Linked DNA regions of Neurospora crassa OR74A. The protein of the gene in region 1 purifies or fractionates together with the protein of each later gene. This does not show direct contact. Links are inferred from orthologs where the notes say so. Each region holds a gene or a part of one and is shown on either strand. Other genes may lie near its edges. The genes, in order: pex5 and pex10.

Region 1 (3,918 bases):
AGCCAGCTACATTCGCTTTGTACAGTACTTAATATTTGTATATTCACCAAAACTCCCTATAATCATCCGAACATAGTGTACTCGCCTCACTCGACAAGTAACCCTCGTCCAAGTCCTCATCACACCACTGCTGCTCCTCCTTCAAGGCCTTCTCCATTTCGACATCAACATCGTAGTAAACATCCTCCATAGCGTCATACCCAACCATCCACTCCTGAGCCTCTTCTTTCAACTCCAACTCTGACTCACTCTAGAAATCAAACTCACCACGGAAGATCTCGGGATCCACGCCCGTAGTAACCTTCTCCGCCAGATCCCTCCGTCCCATCTGCGTGAACACGCGACGGAGAGTGTCGTAAAGGGTCGTGCTCCTGTTCTGCGTCATCATGTTATCGATACGCGAGTCGCTATCACCCGCATTGCCGCCCAGCAGCTCGCGCGCCTTCTCGCGTCCGCTCTTCTCTACAGACTTGTGCATGTCCAGCGCCGCGAGCAAGTGACCCGCGGCCTCAGCATGGCAGCCAATGTTGATGCACGAGACGCCAAGGTTGTAGCGGGCGCGGACAAAGTTGGGGTGAATGGCGAGGGCCTTTTCGTAGGCGGCGATGGCCTCCTCGGAGCGGCCGCTGTTGGCGAGAGTGGCGCCCAGCCGGTTCCAGAGCAGGTGGATCTGTTCGCGCTGGTTGGAGGTGCCGAGCTCGGTCGAGTGCAGCGCCGACTGGAAGCAGTCGACGGCCTTGTCGTAGTCCTCGGCGCCGTAGAACAGGACGCCTAGGCCGACCTGCACGTCGGGGTCCATGTGATCGCCATCGGGAGCGAGGCGGGCCGCCTCGAGGAAGAGGTTGGTGACGCGCTCGTGCAGCTGGGCGCGGTCGGTGAAGCCCATGTCAGCGGCCGAGGAAAGGTTACTGGGTGAGATGACGCTGGGGTACTTGGTCGACAGCCAGCGCTCGAGCGTGCGGTAGGCGGTGCTGTCGTAGCCCTCGTTGGTGTAGGAGACGGCTAGGCCCATCATAGCAGAGAGGTTGTTGGGGTCGAGCTTCATGGCACGCTCGAGAGCACGGATGGCAGCTTCTTCCTTCTCGTTCTGGGCTTGCGTCTGTCCGAGGTAGACCCACGCCTCGGTGTGGTCGGGGTTCTTCTGGACCGCAGCCTCGAAGGCCAGAGCAGCTAGCGACAGGTTCCCGCCCTCCTTCATGATACGAATACCCTCTTCGAATGGGTTTGGTGTCTCCCTGAAGAGGTTATCTTCCTCGAAGAGGTACTCTTGCACGATAGGGTCCGCGCCGAGCCTGCCGTTCAGCGTCCAATCTTCCTTTTCCAGGTTCTCACTGTCGAACTTGGCAAAGTCGTCCTGGACATCAATCTCGTCCAACTCCTTCATGGCGTCTCTTTCGGCCTGGATACCGCGCCAGATGGATTCGAGATCGCCAGCACCAGTCTCGGAGTGAAGTAGCGCCTCGTCCATCTTGTTGAGCTCGGGCTCCATGGCGCGGGCCTCGTCACCATTGATCTCCAGCTGAGCAAAATGCTCTTCCCACTTGTTCTGGTCGAGCTCAACAACTTTGCCCTTACCCTTGCCCTCGGGCTGTAGTTGTTGCTGGGGAATGTTGTGCATCTGAGGGCCGTGCATGCCGACCATGGGCTGGTACATGGGTCGCTGCATCATGTTGTAGTTCATGTTGCCCATGCCCATCATGCCACCACCCATCATGGGGCGCTGAGCAGGCATCTGGCTGGCGGTGGCCGGCGCCGCGGCGGGGTGCATTTGCTGGAACTTTGAAAACTCATCGGCGCTGAACTGAGTGCCAGGCGGCGCATTGAAGGCGGCTTCCATAGCCGCCTGTGTGTTGTGGAAGTCCTGAGCCCATGCTGGCGAGGCGTTCGGGGCGCGCATGTGGGCGCCTTGGCTCGGGTCGAGGTGAAGCATATGTCCTTGTTCGAGAGGCATATGAGCCATCTCCGGCGTTTGGTTTAGGAATCCGTTCACCATCTGTTCGAGAGGATCGTCATGTCAGCCAAGAGCGCATGCCTTGCCGTCAACAATATCCATGAAGATTCCTTACCTCATCTTGGCCAGGCCCGCGGTTAATACTCCGGAAGCCACCAACCGCAGCATTGGGACCTCTGTTGGCAAGTCTGTCATGTTGGAGGCTCTTGTCGTCTCCAACATGCTTGGTAAACTGACTGAGCGGGTTGCCCGCCGTCGAACACTCGGCTCCACCCATGAAAGACATTTTGAAGATGTTGGATATTAATGCGACAATGGCGATGTTTCGGCGAAAGTTGACAACGAAGCCCAAGACAGAAGACAAGATGGGCGGCTCTTGTACACTATCTGGTAGACGAAGTAGAGCGCTATGCGGTCGACTGTTGGGAAAGCAGCGGCCCGCGCAAGTTGTAGAGGCAGGCTGGAAGTAGCGGTAGCTAGGTAGATTTTTGCGCAGGGCAAAGGAAGGATGACTTTAGTTTGGAAGAGGGAAAGAAAAAAAGAAGTGGAAGTAACAAACAAGCCAGGCACGGGCGTGGTGAGCTCGTGGAGTTGATTAATTAGTGATCAAGCGGCGGTGTCCAGAACTGAAGTTGTCCAGGTGAAAGAAAGAAGTTGACCGACTCTCGCGGGATGTGTGGCAGGTGTGCTGTCTTGTAAGTAACGACGGGAGCCCACGGATGCACGGGCGGGTTGTCTGGGTCCGGCATGTGTGGATGGCAGCAGCGTGGTTAGAAATCGGGCTCTGCATGCATCTGAAGTGAGTTGGAACCTTGGGCGCCAAAAGCTCAGGTCACTCAGGGGCACAAGGGGGGCACCGCCGTGCGCCACCTGAACAGCTGGAAATGCCGAGGCAGCCAGGGCACCTCAGCCAGCCATCATATCCACCTCACCGCGCTCTTGTTAGGTCTTTTTGGGCTGTGGCAGTTGCCGGCCACACCTCAGGCACTTGTTGCCTGGCCGCGGCTATTACTGGTAACCCCGCCAATGGAGTGTTGTCAACCACACCTCACATGGAGCCGAACCCCAGCCCGGCCCGTGGAGTACACCCCCGCCCCCGCCCCCGGATCCATCATCGATCCCTTCGTTCCTTCAAACGACAGCCGAGAACAATCGGACGACAGCGGAGTGCGGAAATCATACTCGCATGCCGACAGCACGGCAATGTACGCAAGTTGAAAGGGAAAATGAACAATCAAACGATGCGTTTCGAGCAGATCGTCACGTCACGCATACGGGATGCAGGACGCAAAGAAGGTACAGAAGACCACCCCTCTATTCGTACATATGTACAGCGATATAACCAACAAAAAATGGTAAACGAAAACAACTAGTCGCAGTAAGAAGAAAGAAGAGAAGATTTTTCGTAGTTGTACAGGTATCATTGCAAGCAAAAGGTCAGGATGATGTACGCAGAGTGATCGTACTGCAAAGGCGCCACAACACCAATCCCACAGTTTCCCAATCCCAATGTGCCCCAATTTTGGCAACATTTGTCAAGAAACACAACCGGCCTCTTTTCTTTTTTGAAAACCGAACTTGCCCAGTTTTGCCCTCCATTACATCCGTTTCCCATCCTCTTCACCCAGTCATGTCGTAACCATTACATGCCCTCGATTGCGGCTTGTTAGTTTAGAACTCGGTGGACTCGCCCTGGTCGCGGCGGTTGTAGTTGCGGTCGCCACCCTCGCGGTTGTAGCTGCGGTCGCCACCCTCGCGGTTGTAGCTGCGGTTGCCACCATCACGGTTGTAGTTGCGGTTGCCACCCTCACGGTTGTAGCTGCGGTTACCGCCGTCGCGGTTGTAGCTGCGCTGACCATCGCGCTGACCATCACGCTGCTGACGGGGGCGGTACTCGCGGCGTTCGCCGTTGTTCTCACGGGGCTGACGAGCAGCGGCGGGCTGAGCATAGTCAATCTTGATGGTCC
Region 2 (3,427 bases), about 3.4 Mb from region 1:
TCTGTGGTTGTGGCCGGTTGGGTTGCATGAGAGCTGTCCGCTAATTCCATCACCCGCATCTTAGACCCACTCATATGAAGCAGCTTTATCATCTCTCCAACGCTCCGATAAAGATCTGGAAGCCTCTTCCCAACGGCGACCATAACTCGAGTGTCCTCGAAGAAGGCTACTTTGAAGCCATCGCAGAATTCATCCAAAGGGTTTCCTCAGGAGACCCCGAAAAGAAATAGCTCGATTCGACAACGAAATCCGCGCCGTCGCTCTCTCCTCATTCCATACGGTAAATGGGTCTTTCTGTTGAAGGGGAGGCATATGATGTGCCCACGATCTTGATGACGCGAAAGCGTCCACGATTACGAGCTGTTGGGGGACAGCGAAGCACAAGTACGACAACCACGACCTTGGTGGCTTGATGCTTGAAGATGGGTCGGAACTTGAGGCTTTCATTGAGGTGTCATATTTTCTCTTTCGCACCTCGTGTATGTATTTCATGACCCTTTGGACCTATGTCGAGGTTGCTCGGGTCTTGATTAAGACCCAAACGGGACGAGACTCGATATTAATCAAGCAAGAGAAGTTTTTGTAGAGTAAATACCAAATATTAATATCGGACAAGGAATAATTCAATTTCATACTTGAACATATGTGCATTAGCTTGTCAAAAGTTCCTGACCTTTTGAGAATATGTCGGATCATTCAATCATTAGGCTATGTACGAAAACAGGCTCTCTCTCCTGGCAATATGCTTGCTGCATATACAATTATCCCTAAACCGCAGTTGTTGACTGTTCGCTCCTTGTCATGTGCAAATACTACCCAAAATCTGTTCTCGAGAGGACGTTGTAAGACTCCTGCTTTTTGTCATATCTCCCGTATATTAAGTATTTTGTCCCCCCCGACCGCCAGAAAAGGACTGCTCTAAGCAACCCTCAATGGCAGAATATGCTGTACCATCGTCTCACGTCTGCACAACGGACACTCAGGCTTCTCGCGCACCCAGTCTCCAATACACGACCAGCAGAAGACATGTCCGCACTGGGTCGCCGCCGGGTCCTTCAGCTCTTCCAAGCAAAGCGTGCACATCCTCTGCTGTCTCCCCTTGATCCAGCCCATGACCTCCTCATTCGCCGCCAAGTCGTAGTTCGCCCTCCCGCCCTTGGGCACAGGGGTGTGCGTCGTCCGTCCAATCTCCGCCAAACTACGCTGGTTACCCGACTTGCCCGTCTCCACCAGCAACTCGTTATTGCTGCTATAGGCATTCTCATCTAACGACACATCCAGTGTGCCCGCAGCGCCCGGCCCAAAGGCGCGCTCCCGAATGCTCGCCTCGGTACTGGCCTCCTCGGCACTAAGCGGCGAAGTTGACGACAGCTGCGCCGTCACATGCAGGTATCCCCGGACGAGCATCTGCACCACCAGCAGCACGCCGAGCACTTCATAGCCCGCGCGACCGCCTTGACCCTCCTCGATGCGCCGCGTGAACACATAACGCAGCCCGAAGAGGCGCTTGGAGAAAGAGTAGTAAGCACCCGAAAAGTAGAATACGGCCAGCGTCAAGGCGTGCAGGTGCGCGCCGCTGGTGATGGAAGTCAGGTGTGTGAGCAGGTAGCGCTTCACGCGGTACTCAAGCGTTGACACTGTGGAGAAACCACCGCCCTTGTTGTTGGAGGTAGATGGGGTGGCGCCCTTGGTGTCGCCGCGGCCCTGGCGGGCAAGCACGGTGAGACGGTCCTGGAGGCGCTTGCGGAGCGCGGCGCGGATGGAGGGCAGCAGGCGGCTGAAAAGGTAGGGGACAAGAACGCTACTAACGATGTAGCCGGCTCGTCGCTGGAGCGAGGGCAGACGGGGGCCACCGGCTTCGCTGCTGGGCTCGACGGGGCTTTGGGTGTCTGGTATCCTGCCGTTGCCGCCCGTACTCGGCTCTTCGACTTGGACTAGGTCGCAGTACTCCTCGCCTAAGGTGCGGTTGCCGAGGAGGGTGGTGAGGCATAGGTAGAGCAGGTCGGCAGCCGTACGGGTTTCGGTGGCCCAGGAGTGGGCGGAGCGGGCACCGCGAACGCGCCGGTGAAGGTCGGTCAGCTGGTTAGTGAGGACGCCCTGGAAATAGGCATCTTTTTGATGCGCGCGGATAATGTCGGGGGCTGCAGCGAATGGATATGGCGAGCTCGTGAGCGGCGGAGGAGGCTTCTTGGTGGCCGTCAATGACATGGTAATTGATGTCGTCGTTTGGGTCGGGTCGGGTGGGCTCGAAGTCGGGGGGGTCAAAAGCTGTGTTTACACGGTCGACGTATTCAGGGGGAACTCTCGAACCCTAGGAGAGCTCGTATGCCTACAGTCGAATCGTCGAAGCTGTGGCAGTGGATGATTAAGTCTTTTCGATCTGAAATTATCCGAGTTGTTGTTTGATGTTTCGAGATCGACAGGCGGCAGTTGAAGCTGAGATGAAAGTGGTAGTCGGGAACGGATGGACCTCGGTCCTTGGGGTTAATGGGGGCAGCACGCCCGGCGCCGCCCCAGGCGTGGTTCCTCCTCACAAGGAGCGAGCTGAGGAATTGGCAGGGGGGTGCCCAGAACGTCGTAGCCCAGGCTTTAGCGGCAGGGATGATGCAGCGGGTTGTCACAGGACGGGGCCGCGACCAGGGGTTGCACTGACGTCGGGTCTTCTCCCTAAGCCAAAAAGAGTGCACGCGACAGGGGCTTGGCAACTCCGGTGTCTTTGCGACAGCTACCACAATACAGATGAAATTAAAATTTCCATCTTGACACTTGACAAACTCCAAACGCGTTACTGCTGGGAATTTGATCCCAAGCCTATCAACTCTTCTTTGCGTCCAACTGTTACTTCTCCCTCTCCGCATTCCATGACGGACAGCAAATTGACCGCTGCCTGGCGCAATGGACGGTGATCCCGTGGTTGAGCCGGAGCTCGACTCCTTCAGCTTGACCTTTCCCCTTCCCTACCGGGTTGCCTTCATCGTGATCATAGGTATGTATATACAAGTTTCCTACCGTATGTTTGCTCTCTGGATACACGGTTGTAAACTGACTATCTCTGGTTGATTAGCTGTTTGGGGCTGGGGCCTCAACCTTCACTTCCTCCATAATCGCAAGATCGACGTCCCCTCCTTAATCCGGTACCCAGGAAGATCGAGCCCAACCCAGCTCCCTCACCACCACTCGACATACCGTCTTGCGACTCTTCTTTCGCTAAGCTCCGCTGTTTCGATTCTCACATTTTGGTCGTTTACCAGGCGCGATCCAAAACGCGTTATCGACTATGACTGGATTCCCATGACCAACTTGGCAGTGACCGCAGCCCTCTTCGTGCTACCCCTGCGAAGACTGTCTGTTTCGCACTCCGGTCGACGTCGACTACTCGCAACTCTGCGCCGCGTCAGTGTGGGAGGTTTGGCTGAGGCCAAGGATG

Evidence for each region.
Region 2: the proteins of pex5 (region 1) and pex10 purify together in Saccharomyces cerevisiae (affinity purification with western blotting; 3 studies listed by BioGRID). This does not show direct contact. The link is inferred for Neurospora crassa OR74A from reciprocal best matches to the Saccharomyces cerevisiae genes PEX5 and PEX10.

The regions. Positions count from the first base shown.
Region 1 is NC_026501.1:8,571,341-8,575,258, forward strand, and holds the start of pex5 (peroxisomal targeting signal receptor), read right to left. Parts: upstream 2,779-3,918; 5' UTR 2,238-2,778; coding exon 2,067-2,237; intron 1,994-2,066; coding exon 251-1,993; 3' UTR 1-250. Other genes in the region: NCU16466 (nucleic acid-binding protein), read right to left, coding at 3,623-3,918. UniProt on the Saccharomyces cerevisiae protein: Receptor that mediates peroxisomal import of proteins containing a C-terminal PTS1-type tripeptide peroxisomal targeting signal (SKL-type).
Region 2 is NC_026501.1:5,159,042-5,162,468, forward strand, and holds pex10 (RING-1), read right to left. Parts: upstream 2,482-3,427; 5' UTR 2,209-2,481; coding exon 919-2,208; 3' UTR 585-918; downstream 1-584. Other genes in the region: bem46 family protein, read left to right, coding at 65-230; NCU03278 (protein-ER retention protein), read left to right, coding at 2,896-2,986, 3,065-3,427. UniProt on the Saccharomyces cerevisiae protein: E3 ubiquitin-protein ligase component of a retrotranslocation channel required for peroxisome organization by mediating export of the PEX5 receptor from peroxisomes to the cytosol, thereby promoting PEX5 recycling.